Linked DNA regions of Nothobranchius furzeri. The protein of the gene in region 1 interacts with the protein of each later gene in a biochemical or structural test. Links are inferred from orthologs where the notes say so. Each region holds a gene or a part of one and is shown in the gene's direction. Other genes may lie near its edges. The genes, in order: bcar1 and ptpn12.

What was found.
Region 2: the proteins of bcar1 (region 1) and ptpn12 form a complex in vitro, tested with the Homo sapiens proteins (3 studies listed by BioGRID and IntAct, with this or other methods). The link is inferred for Nothobranchius furzeri from reciprocal best matches to the Homo sapiens genes BCAR1 and PTPN12.

Annotation. Positions count from the first base shown.
Region 1 is NC_091754.1:40,231,304-40,242,905, forward strand, and holds the start of bcar1 (breast cancer anti-estrogen resistance protein 1), read left to right. Parts: upstream 1-4,288; 5' UTR 4,289-4,890; coding exon 4,891-4,902; intron 4,903-11,602. Other genes in the region: cfdp1 (craniofacial development protein 1), read left to right, coding at 49-177, 371-535, 733-823. UniProt on the Homo sapiens protein: Docking protein which plays a central coordinating role for tyrosine kinase-based signaling related to cell adhesion. Implicated in induction of cell migration and cell branching. Involved in the BCAR3-mediated inhibition of TGFB signaling.
Region 2 is NC_091741.1:48,572,391-48,583,936, reverse strand, and holds the start of ptpn12 (tyrosine-protein phosphatase non-receptor type 12), read left to right. Parts: upstream 1-5,734; 5' UTR 5,735-5,954; coding exon 5,955-6,056; intron 6,057-11,546. UniProt on the Homo sapiens protein: Dephosphorylates a range of proteins, and thereby regulates cellular signaling cascades. Dephosphorylates cellular tyrosine kinases, such as ERBB2 and PTK2B/PYK2, and thereby regulates signaling via ERBB2 and PTK2B/PYK2.

The DNA of each region.
Region 1 (11,602 bases):
GAACACACACACATGTGGATTTTAACAGTGTTGGTGTCTCTTCTTGAGGGTGCATAAAGAGGTATCAGCAGACTCCAAGGAAGCCAGGAGTTTTCTGAAGAGCCAGAACAGTCAACAGGACGAGACCAAGAATGGCGAGAACTCGTCCCTCTGTCCCCCGTCTCTTCCTGGTCCCAGGTAAAACCCGGGTGTGTAGAAAAGTAAAAGATGTCTGACTCGGTGGTGATGAATCCCAAAATGGATGTTAGTGAAATTAGAGTGAACAGATGAGCTCGGTGGCTTTATTGGGACTTTTACTGTTGAGTAGATTTAAACAAACCTGGGCAGTACCAGTCAGGTCCAATTCTGTTCTTCTGATCTCCACTTGCAGCTGCAGCGCTAAACGTTCTGCTGGCATGTCGAGCATCCTGGGTCGTATTGGAGGAAAGAAGCAGAAAATGAGCACTTTGGAAAAATCAAAGATGGACTGGGATGCTTTTAAATATGAAGAGGGCATCACAGATGAGCTGGCGATCCACAACAGAGGCAAAGAGGGGTGAGATACTGTTCTGTCTGCTCCTGGTTAGCATCAAAAACAGTACAGCTCCCCCACCCTCCCCTGTGTGTCCTGGGTCGACCCCAGGGTCTTCTGTTGAACCACATGCCCAGATCAGCTTGTGTAATCTTATCAGGTTAGTTACTGGTTACTGTTTGTGACTAACGGTCTGTGTGTGTGTGTGTTTGGGGGGTCAGGTACGTGGAGCGGAAGAACTTCCTGGAGCGTGTTGACCATCGTCAGTTTGAGCGGGAAAAGGCAGTGAGGCTGAGCAACATGAAGCGATGACGCTGATCAAAGAAGGACTCACAAACTCACGTACAGCTGGAGGCTGCAGCGGTACGGTTGGTGTTCGTCAGAACTCCAGCTGGACCTGGGGCTTTGATCCGGAGCTCAGCGGTTCGGTGAGATGAGTTGGCACCCAGCGACTGGAATAACTCAGCACCCTCTCCTTGTGACCTGTTCCATTCAGCTGCTGTGTCTGGGTTAGGGTCACAGCCTTCGTCCCACTGTTCCACCCCGTTACCATGTTGTACGTGTGCAGTTAAACTCGTCCATGTTTGGGTTGTTTTTATTCTGTCATCATGCAGGGAAGCTTACGCTGAAGTCCCAGCAGCTGCTGGTGAGAACTTCTAAACGAGGGAGTTTCCTAAGTGTTTACGGGGTTCTAGGTTCCCTTGTGCCAGTCACACGGTTCCCTTGTGTGGATAGAGTTTAGAACGTTTTATTTAGAAAGTGTTTTGTGATATTTTCTCACCAAATCCTAACCCTAACCCTATCCCCAGCAGAGCAGCAGTTGAAACCGTCTCACATCTGTGGACACAGGAAGCGTGAGAAAGGGTCGGGCTGTGGATTTTGGTTCCCTGGTGCCTCTTTTTGCTACTTTTGGTGTTTTTAATTTAATACATGCTTAAATTACTTCATTGAATAATGATGGAGTCACAAATGTGCTGCGTCCTTCAGAATGTTCCAGATTCAGAAAAAACCTGGCCTCTTATTTGTTTCTATTAAATGATTCAAACATGCTGATAGACTCCATCCATCCATTTTTCTTCCGCTTATCTGGAGTCGAGTCGCGGGGGCCGCAGCCTACGTCGAGAGGCCCAGACTTCCCTCTCCCCAGCCACTTGGGCCAGCTCTTCCGGGGAATCCCAAGGCGTTCCCTGGTCAGGTGAGAGACATAGTCCCTCCAGCATGCCCTGGGTCTACCTTTAGGTCTCCTCCCGGTTGGACGTTCCTGGAAAACCTCACCAGGGAGGCGTCCAGGAGGCATCCTGACCAGATGCCTGAGCCATCGCAGCTGGCTCCTCTCCACCCTCCCGGATGACTGAGCTTCTCACCCTATCTCTAAGGGAGATCCCAGCCATTCTGCAGAGAAAACTCGTTTCAGCCGCTCGTATCCGTGATCTCGTTCTTCGGTCACTGCCCAAATGTGACAAGGTGGAGAAACGAGGGTCACGGGGGGGATTCGATCCCCAGACTCCTGGGTGAGAGTCACGTGCACTTACCAGTCAGCCAGAGGGATGTCCCCTTGGCCAAGTAGCCAGGGCGCATGATCAGTTGGGACACTGACAGGACGCTCACACTGCCACACAAAGCTTGTGACCACAGGTGAGGGTAGGAATGTAGATGGACCAGTAAATCGAGAGCTTTGCCTTCTCTCTTCACCACGACAGACCGGTACAACGCCTGCATCACTGCAGATGCAGCACCAATCCACCTATCCATCTCACGCTCCAGCTTTCCCTCACTCGTGAACAAGACCCAAACATACTTAAACTTCCACTTGGAGCAGGACCTCATCCCTGACCCGGAGAAGGCATTCTACCCGTTTCCGAATCAAGACTGGAAACCTAATCACTTTAAACATGACTTGGTGTGTTCCATCAACAGGTTCAATAAAGTAATGAAAGACATTGATATTTCACTTAAGGGATCTTTATACATTCTTCGTATACAAAACCATCTTTAATAAATTCGGGAGGTGGATTTGTGGGCAAGAACTTTAACGATACATTTTTAATGACGTACTTTATCAGGTCACAGTTACACGTGTTTCCAATGATGTGGTCAGACCAACTGTGTAGGTTAAAGTTCAGAGTTCACCAGTGGCTCATCTGTCCAGAGAGGCAGATGAGGAAGAGTCCATGTGATTGGTGATGGCCTAGAAGGAAGGGGAGGAGGATTCTCCATTATGTCGTTCATGGGACATCAGGACAGAGGTCATCCCAGTCTGAGCAGATGGTCTGTGGGCAGCATCATCAGGGAGAAGAGCACAGGTAAGTTTTTCTCGCTGTATAGCATGTATCATACTAACTGTAAGTGATGTAACCGCCATCAATGTGTTTGGTCCCTTTTCTACAGTTGAAAGACGACCAAATGATGTTGGAAGGACTTGTCTTTTCTCCCAACAAGAGGCATCGTTGTTGACACCATCGTTCAAAATAATGAAATCCAGCAGAGAGATTAAAGATGGAGCCAACTTTGATGGAAGAAGAAAGTTTGTATCGAGCTTTTCTAGATAAAAACTACAAGGCACTTCACAAGAAAATAAAATAAATGAAAAAAAATTAAATATATATTGTTATATAATAAAAATGGGAGAAATGGGAAACAGTTCAGAAAAATGTGAATAAAAAAGAAAATGTCATCACAGGAACATGAAAAAGAACTGACAAACACCAGCATGAAGAGAAACTAGTGAAGATTCAGCAGAAGGTGACATTAAAACCAGCCTGGACAGGTGAGTTTTCAGCTGCTTTTTAAAGGAGACCACTGAGTCCACTGATCTCAGGGGGAGAGAGGTCCAGAGTCTGGGGGCCGCAGCAGCAAATGATCTGTCACCTTTGGTCTTTAGCCTGGTGCTGCACAACCAGTAGGCTTTGATCACTGGACCTCAGGGACCTGCTGGGGGTGTAGGGACTAAGAAGATCACCAATGTAAGATGGTGCTTGTCCATGTAAGGCCCTATAGACCAGAACCAGGATCTTGAAATGAACCCTGAAGTTGACTGGCAGCCAGTGAAGCTGGAGGAGAAGCAGGGAGATGGGGGTGTGTTTGGAGGACTTGGTCAGAAGCCGAGCACAGGCATTCTGAACCACCTGTAGACGGTTCAGGGAGGTTCTGCTCAGACACGTGAAAAGAGAGTTACAGTAGTCTAAGCGTGAGGAGATGAAGGTGTGGAGAAGTCTCAAGTTCAGAATGGGACTCAGCTTAGCAATGTTCCTGAGATGGAAGAAGAAGAGCGAAAAAGAGAACTGGCATGAGAATCCAGGGTGAGAACTGGGTCAAAGGTCATGCCAAGATTCCTGACAGAGAGTTTGGTGTGAGAAGCAAGCTGACCAAGAGAGTCTCTGACTTTGGGAACCAGCTTGTTTGGGGCACAGATGAGGATCTCAGTCTTATCTTCATTCAGCTGTAGAAAGCTCCCAGCCATCCAGGTTTTGATAGAGTCTAAGCAGGTGTGTAACAGCTGCAGCTTAGACATCTCATGGGGCTTAAAGGAGATGTACAGTTGGATGTCATCTGCGTAAAGATGGTAGGAGACTCCTTTGAAGGAGCTCAGGATGTGCTGAAAAAGAAGCAGACAGAGGATAATTGGAAGGAGGAAATCATAAAAGCAGCAGGAATGAAGGAATGCAAGAGACTGTTTACTGGTTTTGCTGGGAGCACTGGTGTTTATAAAGTCCAACATCTGCTGGGAGGATGGACCTAGGATGCAGCAGTTTGGCACTGAAGGAGCTTCCAGCTCCACACCAGCTTCATGCATGGGATGGAGGACACTGTCCAACAGTGATGTTATTTTCACTAGAGTCCTCTCTCCCACCCCCAGCTGGGTCAAGGGGACATGCTAGGACAGAACTTCTTAATCAGCTTCCCGTCTCTCAGTAGCCCCAAACCACACAAAGATGGTGGATGGGAGGGGGGCTCGGGCCCTTTAAGCGGACAGGATCCAGCCTGTGGTGGGCGGACGGTAGCAGCCAGCTGTGCTCCACCCGCTCCGCTCGGCCTCCAGCCGCAGCTGCTTCATGCTCCAGCTGTTATAGCCGCGCGTCCGTGGGGGGTGAGTCCGAGGCAGAGTGACTTGAGGGAGGACCGAGAACCGTCAAGTCTGCGGGTCATACGGACGATCGCATTACCGCTGCTGCAGATCTGCGCCTCTGAGGCGCATTTTTACGCAGCAGTCCAGCTGGACTGAGACAAATCCCGACCTCTTCCTCCCGCTGGGAGCTTTCCTTTCCTACCAGGAGTCTTTTCCATGGAATCCACGAACGGCTGACGCCAGCGCAGCTGTGCATAAAACCCGCTAGAGACGCAACTGGCAGGAAAAGGCGCAATAGGACAGCTGCAGCAAAATGTCTATCCCTGTAAGTATGTCAGACGCATGTTGGTGTTCCCAGTCGTTGCTCCGGTGTTCCATGTTAATGGTTGTAACAGCCTGGGCCCGGGCCGCCCGGTTCCATAGCACTACAGTAATTAAGATGTTATCATGTGAGCCCACACATATTACTGTAACACGGTGTGTGATATGTGCTGGTGGTGACATGTTACTCTTTGTCTTTGGCCTACATGAAGCTCCAGCGGGTTTAAAGGAGCAGCCCGCCCCTTCCGGGAGGCTGTTTGCATGAAGGCCAATGTCAGCCAGGGTCTGGTGGCTTCATTCCAGCAGACCTGGCCAGTCAGCTCAGCAGAGCAGCTGATAGCACTGTGTGTGTGTGTGCAGGTGTGCGTGCGTGTGTGTGTGTTTGTGTGTGTGTGCAGGTGTGCGTGTGTGTGGAATAAGGCATTTGCTCGAGCTTGTTGAGTTATTTTCCATCAAATTCCAAAGGATCTGTTTCACAAACACTGCCTAAGGATCTCTCTCTCCCTCTCTCTCTCTCTCTCTCTCTCTCTCTCCTCTCTAACTGAACTGATGCTTCATTTTGTTGGGGACGACAAAATCCTACTGGCACTTTAATATAAAGTTATTAGACGATCTTACCTTTTGCAACATTTTTAAGCTGTTCTGGGAGGCTTTGCGGTCCAAAAGAATGATTTTAAGACCATCAGTGAATGGTGGGAACAAGGGAAGGCACAAATTAGAGTTTTCTGTCAACATTACACGCGGGGGTCTACAAACCAAATAAGAAAGACTATGGCAGATCTAGAGAAGGACATCAGGGTGCTAGACTACTACTCAACAACAGCACACCTTAGACCAAAAAAAGACAGCAGCTTGGGCATTTCCTGCAAGAGAGGGCCAAAGGCGCCTTGATCTGGGCTCGTCTCACCACAATACAGGACATGGATGCTCTGACATCCTTCTTTTTTAACCTGGAAAAGACTTCAAACCAGAAAAAACAAATGGCTGGCCTGCGTCTGTCAGATGGACAGTTATCCACAGACCCAGTGGAGATGAGGAAGCATGCAGTAGAATTCTATACCAGCCTATTTAAGGCCGCCCCATGTGATGTGAACTGTGCCAGAGAGCTGTTGCAGGGGCTTCCTTCCTTGACCACAGTAGACCAGGGAATCTTAAATGCAGACATAACCATGGAGGAACTTACAACGGCAGTCTCCCAGATGGCTGCAGGTAAATCTGCGGGGATGAACAGCTTACCCGCTGACTTCTACAAATTCTTCTGGAGCAGTATTGGACAGGACCTGATGGATGTTTTTAGAGACTCACTTCAGACAGGAGCACTTCCTGCATCGTGTAGTTGGGGCGTTCTGTCCCTGCTGCCGAAAAAAGGGGACTTAACCCAACTAAAAACCTGGGGACCAGTTTCCTTGTTGTGTTCAGACTATAAGATTTTTTCTAAGTTCCTATCTAATAGACTTCGGGGATTCATCAGAGGTCTAATCCCAGACGATCAGTCCTTCTGTATACCAGGAAAGTCATTAATGGACAATTTATTTTTAATGAGAGATGTGTTTGATGTTTGTAAAATGTATGATGTAAACGCAGGTATCATTTCTATTGATCAGGAAAAGGCGTTTGATAGGGTTGATCATGAGATCCTGTTCTCTACGCTACAGGCCTTTGGTGTTGGGGGGTCCTTCCTGGAAGGGATTAAGATGCTGTCATGTCATGTCAGCTGTATGGTGAAGGTAGCGGGGGGCCTGAGCCAACCCACCAGTTCTAAGAGGAATCAGACAGGTTGTCCCATCTCAGGACAACTGTATATTTTAGCCATTGAACAGCTGCTGTGTCGGCTGAGGAACAGGCTGAAAGGTGTACACCTACCTTTACCTGACTCCAGTCCTCCCTTAGTTGTGTCTGCTTATGCAGATGATGTGAATGTTTTCATCCATGATCAGCAGGATGTACAAGAACTCAGATCTAGTTTACGTTTACATGAGAAAGCATCCTCAGCTAAGGTTAACTGGGACAAGAGTGAGGCATGTGTAGTGGGGGGTGGGACCTTGGTGATGTCCCGCCTCTGCCAGAAGGGTTGAGGTGGGGAACGGGAGGTATTAAAACACTAGGCATGTACTTGGGTAGGGAAAGGTTTCAGAAACAGAACTGGGAGAAGGTGCTGGAGAAGGTGGAGGCGCGGTTGTCTAAATGGAAATGGCTGCTCCCTCAGCTGTCCTACAGGGGCAGGGTTCTGATAGCAAACAACCTCGTCGCCTCGTTTCTGTGGCAGAGACTGATTGTACTGGTTCCACCACCCCGTCTGCTGGAAGGTGTTCAGAAGCTGTTGGTGAAATTCTTCTGGTCTGGTCACCACTGGATCAGAGCTTCGGCTCTTTGCCTACCCGTGTCAGAGGGAGGACAAGGACTAATAGACGTGGTGTCTAGAACTGCAGCCTTCAGGTTACAGACAGCTCAGAAGCTTTGTTATGGTGACGGACTCCGCTGGCTCCCCCTGGCTCATCTCCTGCTGCAGAAGGTTGGTGGGCTTGGGCTGAACAAACACCTGTTCCTGTTGAATCGGAAGGTGTTGGATCTGACAAGGATTAGTCCGTTCTACTCATCAGTGCTGGACACCTTTAAGCTGCTGGCGGTTTCCCGAGCACCTGACACGGGACCAGGGACATGGTTGCTACAAGAACCCTTGTTTGACAATGACTTCTTCTCTCAAGCTGGCATTTTAACTTCGTCTTCGTTGAAAGTGAAGTTCACCGATGCTGGGATTGTAAAGTTTGGCCACTTACTGAAGATCCCGGCTGGAACCCTTGGTGAGCGGGTTGATGTGAGGTCCACCAGAGTGATGGAGAGAGTGGTGGAGGAGGTACGGAGGTCCTTGTCTGTGTCGCAGAGAGCCTTCGTTGAGACTTGTACTCTATCTGACCAATGGGATGATGACAGTGAGTACGTTTTTCCATCTCTGGAGGTTAAAGCAGCTGGTGAGGGATGGCAGGAGGAGAGTGGATTACTGCTGAACCTGAACTCTCCAGTGTTGGGCTCCTTCCAGTCTTGTGGGAAGAAACAGATCTATCACACTTGTGTGAAGGTTATCAATAGGCGCTCCTTGTTAGGAGTCAAGGAGTTGAGGTGGACTCAGGTGTTTGCTGCGGACCGTGCCCCTGGGGGCAGCTGGAGGACTTTGTATAAGTCTCCAGTGGAAAAAAGGGATGGCAGACCTCCAGTGGAGGATCATACATGGAGCTTTAGCTACGAACAGACACAGAGCCCACTTTGATCCAAGCACCGGGGAGGGATGTCCTTTTTGTAACCAAACAGAGACCCTAGAGCATCTAGTGGTAGCATGTTCTAGGTTATCAGGGATGTTCAGGGTTTTAGAACGGTGGGTTAGTGCACTGGGGGAGGCTTTTACCCTTCCGTTATTTGTTTTCGGGCCCAAGTACAGTGTCAGAAAAAACGGACAAAATTGTTAATTAACTTTTTATTTGCATGTGCAAAACTAGCCATCTGGAAAACCAGGAAAAACCAGATGCTGGGACAGAGCTGGACTGATGCTGAGCGGAGCCTGAAGGGCCTGGTGGAAGCTCGCTTGAAGATCGAACACGCTTTTTATGAACTTACTGGGAACCTGGACTCCTTTAGAGCGGTGTGGGGGATCGGGCAGGTGCTCTGTCTGCTGGATGGACAGGGCTCCCTAAAGATCAACTTCTAAACTGGGTTTCTCAGTTTTCCTGGTTTTATTAGTGGAAAACAAGTTTCAGTCATTAACACTGATTGTTGATCTGTAAAGAAATTTAAATAATTTAAAAGTCAAAGTCTCTCTCTCCTCTCTCTCTCTCTCTCTCTCTCTCTCTCTCTCTCTCTCTCTCTGTCTGTCTCTCTTTGTCTGTCTGTCTGTCTGTCTCTCTCTCTCTGTCTGTCTGTCTCTATGTCTCTCTCTCTCTGGTCCCCCCCCCCCCCCCCCCCCCCCAGTTCAAGCCATAACTAACACTCACATATTCAGCAACAGAACACCACTGTCAGGTTGGGCTTAAGGTTGTTGACCTAAGACGTGATGAACCAGTCACAACACGAGATAAATCAAATAACATTTACTAAAGGACAACTTATGGAGTGCCACCGACTTGGGGCGAGGAATGCTGAGGCTCTGGCTCCAGAAGAGTGACTCGCTGGGCTGAGGAAATATGTTGCTAAGGCTTACAGTTCTGTAGATGGTCTTGAGCTCGAGAGGGGAAGAGGTCCAGTCCAAGGCAGTGGTTGTAGGTAGAGCTTGTGCAGGAAGGGGCACTCGAGGCTGGTTCTAGATTTCCAGACAGGATGAGTGGTGGAACGCTGGAAGGTCTGGTTGCAGGGTTTGAGTGTGGATCAGGGAGGTTATCGTTGATCTGTTGGTGATGGTTGGAATACCTGGAGAGTAAAGAGAGGTTAGGGAAGTCGAACGATTCTTAGGTCATTTCAAAAAGGTGGCAGGTGACTCTCAGCTTGGTGGCACCAAAAGCGAGTTATCATCCGGTGACCTGTGTATTGTTATTAAGACTCTGGTTCCTCAAATAGCCAGACCCGGTGATTGGCAAACTGGCAGCTGGGCCCGCTCTCCCACCTGCAATCAAGCACTCCCAAGCCGTTTTTACAAAACAATGCCATTATTTGCTGCAACGCCGTGGCGGCATCAGGGAGCTTTATGTTGTTTATAAGTGGTCAGTGGCCATAACTGTGGCGGTACAGTTGTGCAATCATGTCCTTTTTACTAGCATTATGCAATGGTGGTATAAAGGGGGTATGGGGCGATCTCTGCGCTGCCGCGGACTTCCGTTTATCTTGGACATAACTTGATTTTTTTTTATTACGATTGAAGTCGTGCTCGTTAAGTCTTTTAACAAGCAGCTCCTAAAGGTGTCTGATCACCACTCCCTGTGCAGTCTCTGGTGATCTTAGTTCCAGCTCTAATGGAAAGAAGCTCCTGGAGAGCTGCATTGCTTCAGTTTAACATCTCAGCTGGTTCTGTTTACAGAAGGGGAATTCACGGCTCGTATTTACTTTCATTTTCTATTTATTTTCCAGCCGGAGCTGGGCAATAACTCCCCATGTGATCGGGACACCTCCCTCTGACACCTCAATCACCGTTTATAAGACAGACAATTACAGCAATATTACTACCAAGCAAGGCAGAACGAATGCCGCAACATTAGTGCAACGCTATGCTGGCATGGCGCGTTCATAAGACACGCTGTTGCGGTAATATTATGCAGATTTTCCGGCAGTGTGTGTCTTTTAAAAAGGGCTGTAGAGGTTAGGTGGTAACCACTCACCTCAGACTGTGACAACTACTGGTGTTTGAGGTTCTTCACTCAATAATAGCAGAAGAGAAACAGCCGGCTGCTACCATTTCAACTTCACGACAAACTACCAGAGTCCCAAAAAGAAAAATACTATTTGAAGTCACGGAGAACTAAAGACGTTTGGACCTGGTGTTTAGTGCTCTCTTGGTCCTCTGGCAATGTGGGTTTCCGGATCCAGGAGAAGCATCTCAGTGAAAATATCCGAGGGGAGGGGCGAGCGTTCTGTGACTGCATTCAACACCTAGCTTGTTTGCAGATTCACCATAACAGCTTTAGAGTTGGAATATGGAATATTTTATATAAAAAATACTCCATGGGGCATTCAGAGATGTTCAGAATAAAAGTATAGTATAGTTTCTCACCTGTAGACGGTTCAGGGAGGTTTTGCTCATTTACTCTGAACATGGTGCTAGAACGTGTCAGCAGTGAACCAACATAAATGATAAATGACCCGCACTTGTATAGCGCCTCTCAGAGTAAGGACTCCAAAGCGCTTAACACTACAGTGTATCATTCATCCATTCACACACACATTCACACACTGATGGTGATGAGCTATGATGTAGCCACAGCTTCCCTGGGGCGCACTGACAGAGGCGAGGCTGCCGAGCACAGGCGCCACCGGTCCCTCTGACTACAAATGTCTTGCCCAAAGACACAACAGCAGAATTCTCTATCCGGGGCCAGGATCGAATCTGCAACCTTCTGATTACTGGACAACCCGCTCAACCTGTTGAGCTACTGCTGCCCCATCCCAGCAGCTGAAAAATTAGTCCTGTTGTTGCAAAACCACCTCTGACCACCAGAGTTAACCAGATGGTCTATGTTCGATAGTCAACCATTAAGCAGGGCTGCCAACTCTCAGCATTGACCCTCTTCACACGCTCTCATGCCACACCGCCAATATCTCACGCGGAACCAGCGTGAGCTGCGGCTGCGCACGCCGCCAAAATGACATGCTTTTATTTAGAAATGCAGCCGTGTCGCCAGCCGATTTAGACGCAGCTTCAGTCCTGAATGTTTTTTGTCTTGTTTTTACTCATCAGCCACAGATCGCTCGCTACTCTCTCCTCAAGAACAGAAAACTTGTATCAAAGGTCATTTCCCTCTGTAAAGTCAGATCAATGTGTAGAAATAAATGAATAAAACGAAGAGCACAAAAAGTCTCATTGAATACTTTAGAAGATGAGTCCTGGTACATAAATAGTAAATATCTTAAACAGTTTCATGTTAAGGTTCTTTTTCAATTCAAGTTTATTTATAAAGCACCAAATCACGACAAGAGTCGTCTCAAGGCACTTCACATAATAAACATTCCAATACAGGTCAGTTCATTAAGCCAATCAGAAAAAAAAATTTCCTATAGAAGGAACCCAG
Region 2 (11,546 bases), on another chromosome or scaffold:
AACACATATACTTGAAAACACATGGTTCTCAAAAGTTAAAACAGTAATTATGCGTCTAAATCTGACAGAGCATCCAACCGCTGGAGCCTGTCTGTGTCAGCGAATGTGTGTTTGTGTGTGGATTACTCATGTTGTGAGGACATAAACCTGTAATGGAGAAAATTACTAAAGAAATTAAACATCCATAAATTAATAAATGTTTATAGGAATACTCATAGTGAGGTAATGATTATTATCATGGCTAATCGAGACATATGTGTGTGTGTGTGTGTGTGTGTGTGAGAGAGAGAGAGAGAGAGAGCAGTCACCGGAGGCTGACAGGCTGACTGCAAGCTGCTGGGGGAATGGCCACATTGAGGCTGTTGCTCACAATCACAACACACACAAACACAGTGCCACATCACCAACATGTCCACTCTGCACTCACACACTCTCTCTCACACACACTTTTGCCCTCAATTTAGGTGTGCACCTTAATGAAGCCACTCTCCTTAAACCAAACACGCCCCAAAATGTTTGTCATCCATTCACACTTTTTGTCTCCTGTGTGTGTGTGTGTGTGTGTGTGTGTGTGTGTGTGTGTGTGTGTGTGTGTGTGTGTGTGTGTGTGTGTGTGTGTGTGTGTGTGTGTGTGTGTGTGTGTGTGTGTGTGTGTGTGTGCTTACACAAAAGCACATGCCATCTTTTAACAGTGGATGTGGTTTCATGGAAGTGGACTGTGCAGATTGGGCTGCATGGTGGCGCAGTGGTTAGCACTGTTGCCTCGCAGCATGAAGGGTGCAGGTTCAAAACTCAGCTGCGGCCTTTCTACGTGGAGTTGCGTGTTCTCCCCATGCATGCGTGGGTTTCCTCCGGGTACTCTGGTTTCCCCCACAGATCACAACATGCCCTATAGGTTATAAATTGTAAGTAGCTTTGGATAAAAGCGTCTGCTAAATAAATAAACATAAACAGATGGGATATTTTTACATTGTTCTTGAGGTCATGGCCCTAGACTTCCAACAGAAAACCACACAGATCCCAGGGTGTGGATGGCTCTGAAAGGCTACTTTTAACTGGATTTTCACAGCAAAGCTTTGCAGTGAGTTAGTTTATTTCAGCAGCTGTACAGTAATTGTGCATGCTCCTTTTCACCCATAATTGGATGAGTGTTGCATGATTTATAGAAGATGATAATGGGTAAATCATATAAAAATACTTATATAACAGAAGCAGAGATTATCTCGTCGTCGTCGTCTTCCTCCGCTTATTCGGGTCTGGGTCGCGGGGGCAGCATCCCAACTAGGGAGCTCCAGACCGTCCTCTCCCCGGCCACCTCCACCAGCTCCTCCGGCAGGACCCCAAGGCGTTCCCGGACCAGATTGGAGATGTAATCTCTCCAACGTGTCCTGGGTCGACCCGGGGGCTTCCTGCCGGCAGGACATGCCCGAAACACCTCCCCGGGGAGGCGTCCAGGAGGCATCCTGACCAGATGCCCAAACCACCTCAACTGGCTCCTTTCGATCCAGAGGAGCAGCGGTTCTACTCCGAGTCCCTCCCGAATGTCCGAGCTCCTCACCCTATCTCTAAGGCTGAGCCCGGCCACCCTACGGAGGAAACTCATTTTGGCCGCTTGTATCCGCGATCTTGTTCTTTCGGTCATTACCCAAAGCTCATGACCATAGGTGAGGATTGGAACGTAGATCGACCGGTAAATCGAGAGCCTGGCTTTCTGGCTCAGCTCCCTCTTCACCACAACAGATCGGCTCAGCGTCCGCATCACTGCAGACGCCGAACCAATCCGCCTGTCGATCTCCCGATCCCTCCTACCCTCACTCGTGAACAAGACCCAGAGATACTTAAACTCCTCCACTTGAGGTAGGACCTCTCTCCCAAGAAGAAGAAGTAGAGATTAATGGAAGTAAAATAAGTTGTACAAATGCATGAAATGAATACAGAGCCAACGGTGTCTATGCATATATTTTTTAACCAGACTAGTTGCGTTATGATTTATTTTAATGGACCCAATAAAGGAGGAGCCATGATAGCATTGTGCAACCTGCCACTGATTCATGCAGCCTGAGGGCAGACTTTTCACCTCATGTCACTACAACAGGCAGGCTCACGTCCTCTGTGTGTGCTTGCAGACCTGATATTCCCCAGCTCTCATGCATACGTTTTCTTGCTCTCCCTCCACACACCTCAAAATAAAACAGAACACAAGGGTGAGGGAAAGATGCAGATTGTGTGCATGTGTGAGAGCGTGTGCAAGGATCCTCCCTACCTCAGGGTTGTGTATGGGCTTGTTACAACAACATTCTTTCACTCAGCTGCTTCTGAACAGTGCATTCCAGACAGAAAAGGAAGAGAAAAGAAAAGAAGAGAGTCATCAAAAAGAGAAAGAATGGCGGGAGACAAACTGATAAAAGAAAGGAACAGAGAGGGAGAGACATACGTACAAAGTTTCCTCCTGCGCTCTGTGCTAAAGTGGGAAGACAGGAACACAGGAAATTGGTGAAGGAGGAAGATGGGAAAAATAATATTACATGTAACCGATCCCTGGTGTGATATTTGAACCCCTGGCCCCCCTTTTCCCACATGGAGGTCAAAGGTCAGGTTCAGATAAAGTACAGAGTAACGAGAGCCAGCCTGGGAAAGTAGAAAAGGAAGGTCATGACATCCTACCATGCAGCTATTAGGCAAGTTATACATAGACACGCATGATCATCTTTGGTGTGTATTTCTACACCAGTGGAACTAACGTGCTCTCATAAAGCGAATCAATCATTTCTGCACAAACTATAATTTGCTTTAAACCTTTGAATCAAAAATGTGTTCAATGTTTTTCAAAAAGTTATCTTACAGAACCTGTAAAATAACCAAACATATATTTATATGCATTTGTTACATTTGATGTTTTTCTTTGAAAATACTGTAAAATAGCAATTCATTAAAGGTCTAGAACTCCAGAAAAACATTTTTTTTTATTATTTCTGATTATAATTGGTCACTCTGAGTTTTTCATGCAGGCTGAACATGAAAATAGTCTCCTACACCTAGCTCCAGCATTAGCTTCTGACAGAAAATAGAAGGTGAAACTCTAGGATTAGAAAAGCCTGACAGATCTACATCACACTCTTAATTAACATGCATGGATTCATCCATCTTGACTCACGACGGGGAAGGTTGTTGTTGGTTTAGCGTCCAGGAAACAGCAGAGAACTTCTCGACTATTAGAAGCTAACCGTTAGCATTAGCAACTCCACCACACAGCATAACTCCTCCAGGCTTAAGTTGTTTGTGGAGCTAAAATATCCACATTGCAAGTCAGTGGTAGAGTTGCATTGCTGTTATCCAATGCAAGGTGAGATGACCAAATAGGAGGACATAAGACTCCAAAAGCTGCTGTCTGAGGCTCAGCTGTGATGTGACTCACTTCTAGTTCCTAGAAATGGTGCACCAGTCATTTTTGCCCTCCGAGAACGACTTACAGTGCATTCATTCCTGCTAGAAACCACTACAATTGTATTGATTAAATGAGTGTACAACACATTTACACAAAGAAAAACAAATAAGGACCAAATAACGCAAGATAAAAACCAAGTGTTCATCATCAAAACAACATCAGTGGTTGCTTTCTTTGGCATGAATCGTTTCTCACAAACAACACACATACATATATATATATATATATATATATATATATATATATATATATATATATATATATATATACAGCCTATACATTTGGAATTCTATATTTGATGATGTATTGCAGCAGTTGGACTGGAGACTCTGAAACAAGGTTTGCTTAATGAGGATGGAGTGGAAACAGAAGGGACAAGGAAGGGGAAAAAAGCAAAGAAAACACTCAGTATGTGCCGATATAACAAGCAAATAAGTTTAAAGACTAGAGCAACAAAAAGCAGCTTGTGTGAGTAAAAGCTTGCTGGCACAGCGACAGCGTCCCCTCTTCTTCTTGCTCCTGCTCCCAGTGAATAGATGGTTTTGTTTTCTGTCACTGGTAGAACGAAAGGAAAACAAAGTAGCTCAATTCCCTTTTTCTTCTGTGTTAGTTTATTGGAGAATGGTTCATCAGGAATGAAGGTCTATTGAGTTTCTGTCTCCCAAAAGTCTTACGGAGAACACCAGTCTTCTTCATCTGTTCTTCTCATTTTTTGAGCTATAATAAAAGTTGAACTACCATTTTCTAGATTAGACATTCTATGGACAACATGAATTAAATTTGATTTTTCTGTTGCAATTTAAATGCATTATTAGCAGTATTAAAATATCTTAAAAGACTCATCTCACCCAGCTCATCATCTATTTAACCTCCTGGATGAAAAACTGTAACACCAGAGCTGTAAACTGTGCTACCTCCAATACCGGGCATATTATTACTTCATACTGTGATCCATCTATTAAAGTGTAATTTGTTGCTTCCCTGTGCAATGCTCTTACCAGACAAAAGTCACGGCCATCTTCTTCCACTGAGGCTCAGCTGTGATGTGACTCACTTCCTAAAAAAGCGAAGAAAACACTCCCATTTATTATCAAAAACAATAAATGGGAGTCTGTGGTGATAAAAGTTATTTTCTGATCCTGTTCGATATGTGTCATGGATTTCACTTATAGTTTGTGGGAATTTTAATGACACATTTTGATGCCAGGAAAGTACTTATTCACAACAGGCAACAAAAGATCCTTTAGGTTTTGTGTGGGAAGATGTACTGCCCGTCCCAACAATTTTACATCATCAAACCAAAGAGAAGAAAAATGGCTTTGAGTTTAGCGAGCTTCACATCCATCTTCCAGGACTAAAGAAGGAGAATTAAACATAAGAAAATCACTATAAATCTGACCATGTGGAAAGTGTCAGAGTCTGCTGTGATATCATAAATGAGACTTCTGATTTGTTGTCTTTTTATTAGAGAATTTTTTTTACAAACAAATACATTTCAAATTGTATGACAGACTGAGTTGAAACGTATAATTATCATTTTAACTGAATTACAGCATATGTGTAATAACATTGTAGCCTCATTCGCTGGAAGGGGACAGTTCATGTCAAATTCTGCATGCTGAATAAATAAATTGATTTGAACCTTTTGCTGATTATATTGTTTTGTTAAAAGGAGATACGTCTGTTCATTTTTCTGAAGTGACAATAATACACATTACATGGATATCTTATTTATTTATTTATTTATTTATTTATTTATTTATTTATTTATTTATTTATTTATTTATTTATTTATTTATTTATTTATTTATTTATTTATTGATTGATTGATTGATTGTTCCCACTATGAATGTTGGATGCCTGTGGCTGATAAACTGAGAAAAACAGGCATAAGTTTTATCCAATCACGCGAGGCCGTTTGGTAGAGCTGCAGCCGTCTCAGCCAATAACATTCTGTCACACGTTCTCTTGCTACCAATCAGAAACAGGTATATCCTGGAAAAGGCGGGACTACATCTCGTCGGTTTTGCCCAGTCCGGATGTTCTCCAGTAGCGAATAACGAGCACTAGTGTGAATGTGGCAATCGAGGTAGACAGGGAGGGGTACAGAGACTGACCGGACCGGGTTTTTTGGTATTTTTTCTTTATTTTGTATTTTCTCGCCGAGCCTCGTACTGACAGTTTATTCCACGCCGCGGTTGTAAACTTGTTCGAGGGGCTGGCTAGCCGGCCGTTGCAGCTTTTCTTTGGGACTAACTGCTGTCGTGAAAACAGTCCAGAAGAAAGAAGGAAAGGCAGAAACAACATGGGGCGATAATAAATAAATGTGCTGTGTTGTGGACCGACGATGACTCTCTGGGAGGACCCGTGAAAGCCTATTTATTTTTATTTATTTCCCCTTCTCCCTCTCCTTTGTCCTCTGCTGTTTTATTTTTAATGTTCTCCTCCCCTTGTTAGTCTGGGAGATATATTTAAACGGAAAAAGGCAGCGTTTTAAGAGGACTGAAAGATGGACCAAGCCGGCATCCTGAGACAGTTTATCCAGGGGGTGAAGACCATGAGTGAAAGAGACGAGAAGAGGGGGGAGGACAACTTTGGCAGCGACTTTATGGTGAGCCTAATTCAGCAGGAGTCTAAAGCTAGACTTCTTAATTTTTCCTGTGTCAAAATATCCACGTTTTCCTCATGTTGACCCTTTATATCCGAGCCCCCTTTCCCGTCTTATGGTTCCCTGTATCCCCCAGGAGGTGAGGCGGGGGCGGCCACACTATGCCCACTTCCTTTTCCTCCCATTTCCAGCCTTTATATGGCGGCCTTGCATTGTCTCCCGAACCGCACAGAAACGCCACCAACTCCTGTCTTCAAATCAAAGAGGCAAACAGCAAAACAAGTCACGTCACCTTAAAGCCATTAGATGTTTTTGTCTGGCATAGCGAAGAGCAGCTTTAGCTAAGGCTAAACTGGGATGTTCTGGTGTTTCCTATTGTGTTATTCTAACAGATCTTAGGTGCACACTAGTTCCTCTACCTCCAAGTTCCTTTGTTGTATAAATTTAAATCTACATCAAAAATACAACTGTACTGGGAACACGTGTTCTGCAGTGATTGATAGACTCACCAGTATTTGCATCTTCACTTTGTAACATAACACATCCTGTAATGTGAAACTACACCATCTAAAATGATAGCTAAGTTTAATTTAAACAGTTATGTGTGATAATCACGCAACTCAGTGCAAATAGTAATACCCAACCACAAAAACTACCACTCCCCTCCTCTACTTCCCTCTCATAATCATCAGCTGCAACTTGTGTCCTGGGCATGCCTGAAATTAAATATCTGAGCCAGTGTTGAGCCCTTTTTTGTAATTGTTTGTTGATGAAGTCATTTCAAAACCACATTTAGTTTGTTTTGTGATGACCACAGACTGCTCTGTAATGGGTCTGCCTCTCACTACATGTCTGGATGTTGCAGTTCTGATCTCCTAATTGGACCTCTCCCACTCCTGGGCTTGTGGCTGAAATAGTCACAACATGAATGACACGTCCATAATAGCTTTTGTGCTCAAGTGGCCACTTTAGTTGGGTGGCTTTGATTACAATGTTTCAAAATGTTATGTTAAGGACAAACATTTAATTCCACGTTTGTGATTTTTAGCAATCTGAAATATTGTAAAAACTGTTTTTCAAATAGTTGAAATACAAACTAACCAATATGTTTTGTTTCCGGGAATTAAATGTTTTAGATTGAGTTGGTTTGGAGTCCCATCCCTGTCAGAGTTCTTTTGCCTACACTTGCAAACAAACACTGCTTACTTCCCTGCTTCATCCAAGCTGCTTGCTGGAGCTTGCAACATTCTTTCTTGGCCTATTTCATAACATTTTGTGCTGGCTCAATAGTGGAACTTTTTCAACTCTAATTCATACTCTCAAAAACATTAACTAGAACTTCATGTCGGGCTAGTTGTGTCCTCACTCCTCAGACGCTAAACTTATCAATTCTATGTAGGAATGCACAATATATCGGCATCAATATCGATATCAGCACTTGTAAGTCATTTTTTAACATATCGGTATCAGCCCGATAAATAAAACCAGGCTGATATTAACAACCAATATTTTTTCCATCTTTCCATTTGTTTATCTTTTTCAGAGGGTGAGGGAGGTCATGTGTATTTGTTTAGTCATGTGACAGTTATTTTAATCATCGCAGAAGTGTAAATGTGTGTGGTGTGTGTACATAATAACGTAAATTCAGCTTTAATAATTTTCATTCTGTACAAAATCTGGTGATTTTAGAAGCATTAATGTCAGTATATTGGTATTGGCAAATATCAGTTATCAGCCATAACAGTGATTCATATCGGATATCAGTATCCGCCCAAATATTTCAAATCAGTGCATCACTAATTCTATGAATAGTTTTAATTTCAGAAAATCAAATTGGATTATCACATAAGGCATTCAGAGATTGGATAAAAGCAGAAGAGCTGCTTTTAAGTTTTATTGTGGTTTATTTATCATGTAAAGCTGTTGTTGCAATTATTTTACATTAACATTCTGAGAGTTGGTAACCTGATTGCATAATCACAACTTGAACACTGTTAGAAAGCACAACTCTGCTGGGGGTACTAGACTATGTAATATATGTATTTTACCAAAGTTGTCCATCCATCTTCCTTATATAACTGTATATTTCTAATTGTATCTGTTTTCTGAACCAAACGTATCCAGAGTTCATGTTTTAATGATTTAATCAATCAATCAAAGCTTTATTTATAAAGTGCCTTCCGCAACCCTGTCAGGAAGCCCAAGGCCCTGAACTTGGTACAGTAGAAGGTAAATATATTGAATAAATCAAAAATAAAAGCAATTCAAATTACACAAAAGGCGAAACATTCTAGTACAGGACAAATGTGTAAAACAATGGATAGAGTGAACCAATGAAAACTGTAAAATAAATTCAACATAAAAGAGGGCCAAAATCAAACATGTTCAGGAAACGCCAAGCGGAGGAGGTGTGTTTTTAGGCGACTCTTGAAGACTGGCAGAGATGGGGACAGCCTAACTGATGGTGGCAGCTCATTCCAGAGTGACGGTGCTAGGACTGAGAACGCCCGGTCCCCGCGAGTACGACACCTAGAACGAGGAACAGCGAGCAGGCCTTGGTCAGAGGAGCGCAGAGCGCGTGATGGGGAATGTCTGTTCAGGAGTGTGGCCAGATAGGGGGGAGCACCACCCTGGAAGAAATTAAAAACAAAGACGAGGAGTCTGAAGTGTGAACGATAGCAAACCGGAAGCCAGTGCAGGGAGGCCAGAACCGGACTGATGTGGTCCCGTTTCCTGGTCCCAGTCAGGAACCTGGCTGCGCTGTTCTGCACAACCAGTAGGCGATGCAGTGATGACTGACACAACCCTGCATAGAGAGAGTTGCAGTAGTCAAGCCTAGAAATTACAAAGGCATGCAGTACCCGCTCCAGGTGGGCTCTCGACAGCATATGCTTGATTTTTGCAAGGCGTCTCAGGTGAAAGAAACTGGACCGGGTCACAGAAATGATGTGAGCATCAAATTTAAGTCCAGCATCAAGTTTCACCCCCCAAACTGTTGGGGGTGAAAAGACATGAAGACATCAAATAATCAAAATTAAATTACAGTTTCATCAGTCACTCACATGAAGACAAAATTAACAGACAGCTTAGCTATAAAAGCAGACGAGCTAGCCTGGCAGGTCATCCTATTTACATAAATATATTGGTTGGCTGTCCATTGATGGCTCTCTGTTGTGGGGTGGGATCTACGGATGCCTTTCAAACTGCCTCCACATGCTAGTTCAGTGGTACTCACTCCTGGTCCTGGAGAGCCGGTATCCAGGATGTTTCAGTTTGAACTCCGCTTTAACACACGTGATTTCAATCAGCAGGTGATGAACAGGCTTCTGAAGAGCTTGATGAGCTGCTGTACAGGTGAATCAACCACTGAATTAGTTGTGATGGAGTAGAGAAACAAGAAAACATGCTGGACACCGGTTCTAGGCTAGAGAGGAGCTGCAATGGAAGCTCGGATGTGTAGATGCTTGAAAATTAGAACGCAATATCACTCAGAACCATTCTACAGAATGATTGAAGATCATAATTGACAATAGTAGAAGTGTATTTTTGTTGTGTGATGTATACTCCCATTGTGTTTTACCCCCATTCTGTCATCTTTACTTGAGCTGACTTTCTAAAACACCACAAGATGCTTGTGAGGTTAGCCATGCTAACTTTGACTGAAGTACTGAACACAAAGGCATAAAAATCATTAAACAGGATACAATTATGGAAAAACACAAGAATACATGCACAATTCTCTAGAACCAGATCATTTAGAAAGAACGACGAAACCATTGTAAAAATCATTGCCCATTACTTTATTTTTACAACCATTTGGAGCTGAAATTGAGCACAAATGTAATTAATTGCACAGCACAGATAATCTGAGACAAAACTCTTTTTACTCCATAAACATATGATGCATTATTGCGCTTTATGCTGTTGTTGTACATGTATGCTGCCAATTAGATCAATGTAGCTTCTGCTTTTAGCACTTCAAATGTATCCACAGCCTTTACAGCAAAGATGTTCTTATGTTTCACAAGTGAAAGAGTCCCAGTCCAAACCAAAGTTTTGTATTTTTTGTAAGGAAGATCTTTTAAATAAGAAATTATTTCTCTTTTTAGACACCTTCCACTGCTTTTATTGGTTTCTGTCAACAAATTCCATCAGAATCCCGCATTAGAATTTTCTGTTAGCCTTTAGGCTATCCTGCTTTTTTTCAGAGAGTATCTTCACTCACAGACAGTTTTTCATAAAAGCTTTTTTGGAGTATGGTGGTGCTTTAATATAAACTTTATTTGTCACATGGTTACCCAGAGTTTTTTTTTAATGTTGGCTTGTTTTAGTAAACAAAGCTTGAAGTAAAATTTGTTCCCTCGGCAGTGAAAAGTGATTACGATGACAGGTCAGCCTGGAATCAAGAAAGCGCCGGTGTTTTCCTTGTGCCAGCATACATTTACAGTTGAGATTTACCAGCAGAGTTCTTCAGCTAATCGCTGCCAGCCTGTTTTACTGATGCCAAGCCTTATGTGACAGACTCGTTTGCTGAAGTCAAACTCGCGCTGCCACAAGCGCATGGGGTGTGCCCTTCTGTGTAGTGAGTCACCAGAACTCCCTGACACAACTCCCACTTTAGCTGTCTATTGTTGTTTATATATAGAATGTGTTTTATAGGCATAATTACAGGCTCTGGTGGGGGTAAGGAGTCAGCGATTATATGCTTTGTTCAGTGGGCTTTTTTTAAAAGTCATTTGATGGACAGATAATTTTTCCATCTGCCATCAAAACCAGAGTTTTATTTATGATGAATCACATTAGAAACATCAACGTAATCCATTCTAATTGTTGGGATTACCTTTGTTTACATTGAGTTGTTCATCTTTGTTATATTTAAATGGAGGTAAATTACACGAGAGATGTTTGTGGCTGTGGTTCTCGGTCAACCCAGTCAGTAAATCAAAAGAGACTATAAAAAAATGATTGTTCAGGCATATTTTTAAATCCTAATATCCTGGTGCTTTACATTTTCAGAGCTACATTAGACTGGATGTTGTGGAGCAGTTATTTATACGTCTTCATATGGACCAGAGTTGCACAATGTTACGTTTGAGCATTGCAGTTGTATGTGTGAGCTATAGTCGCACCGCAGATGTTTGACTCAACTTATTCTCATCTTATGTTAAAGAGGCAATGTGTAGTTTTTACCAATAATTCCTGGAAATATCCATCAAAACGTTGTTGAAAATGAATAAAATTATGTCCAGTTGTTGAATATTTTTGTCAACTTTGCACCTTATAACCATAAAAATCGGGTCTAAAGTACATAGGATGCTGGTCTAGCGTCTTTGGGGGACACCACAGGGTTTCCCCCAGAAAATGAGTTAAGCCTGGCGGATTCGGCCGTCAGGGGGTTGCTGCACACGTTCCGCTGCTGTTTCTCACCAGTATCAGCTGATAGAGGGCTCTAGTTTTATTGCGCCGTTTGTGTCAGCGGACACGGTATGGTCG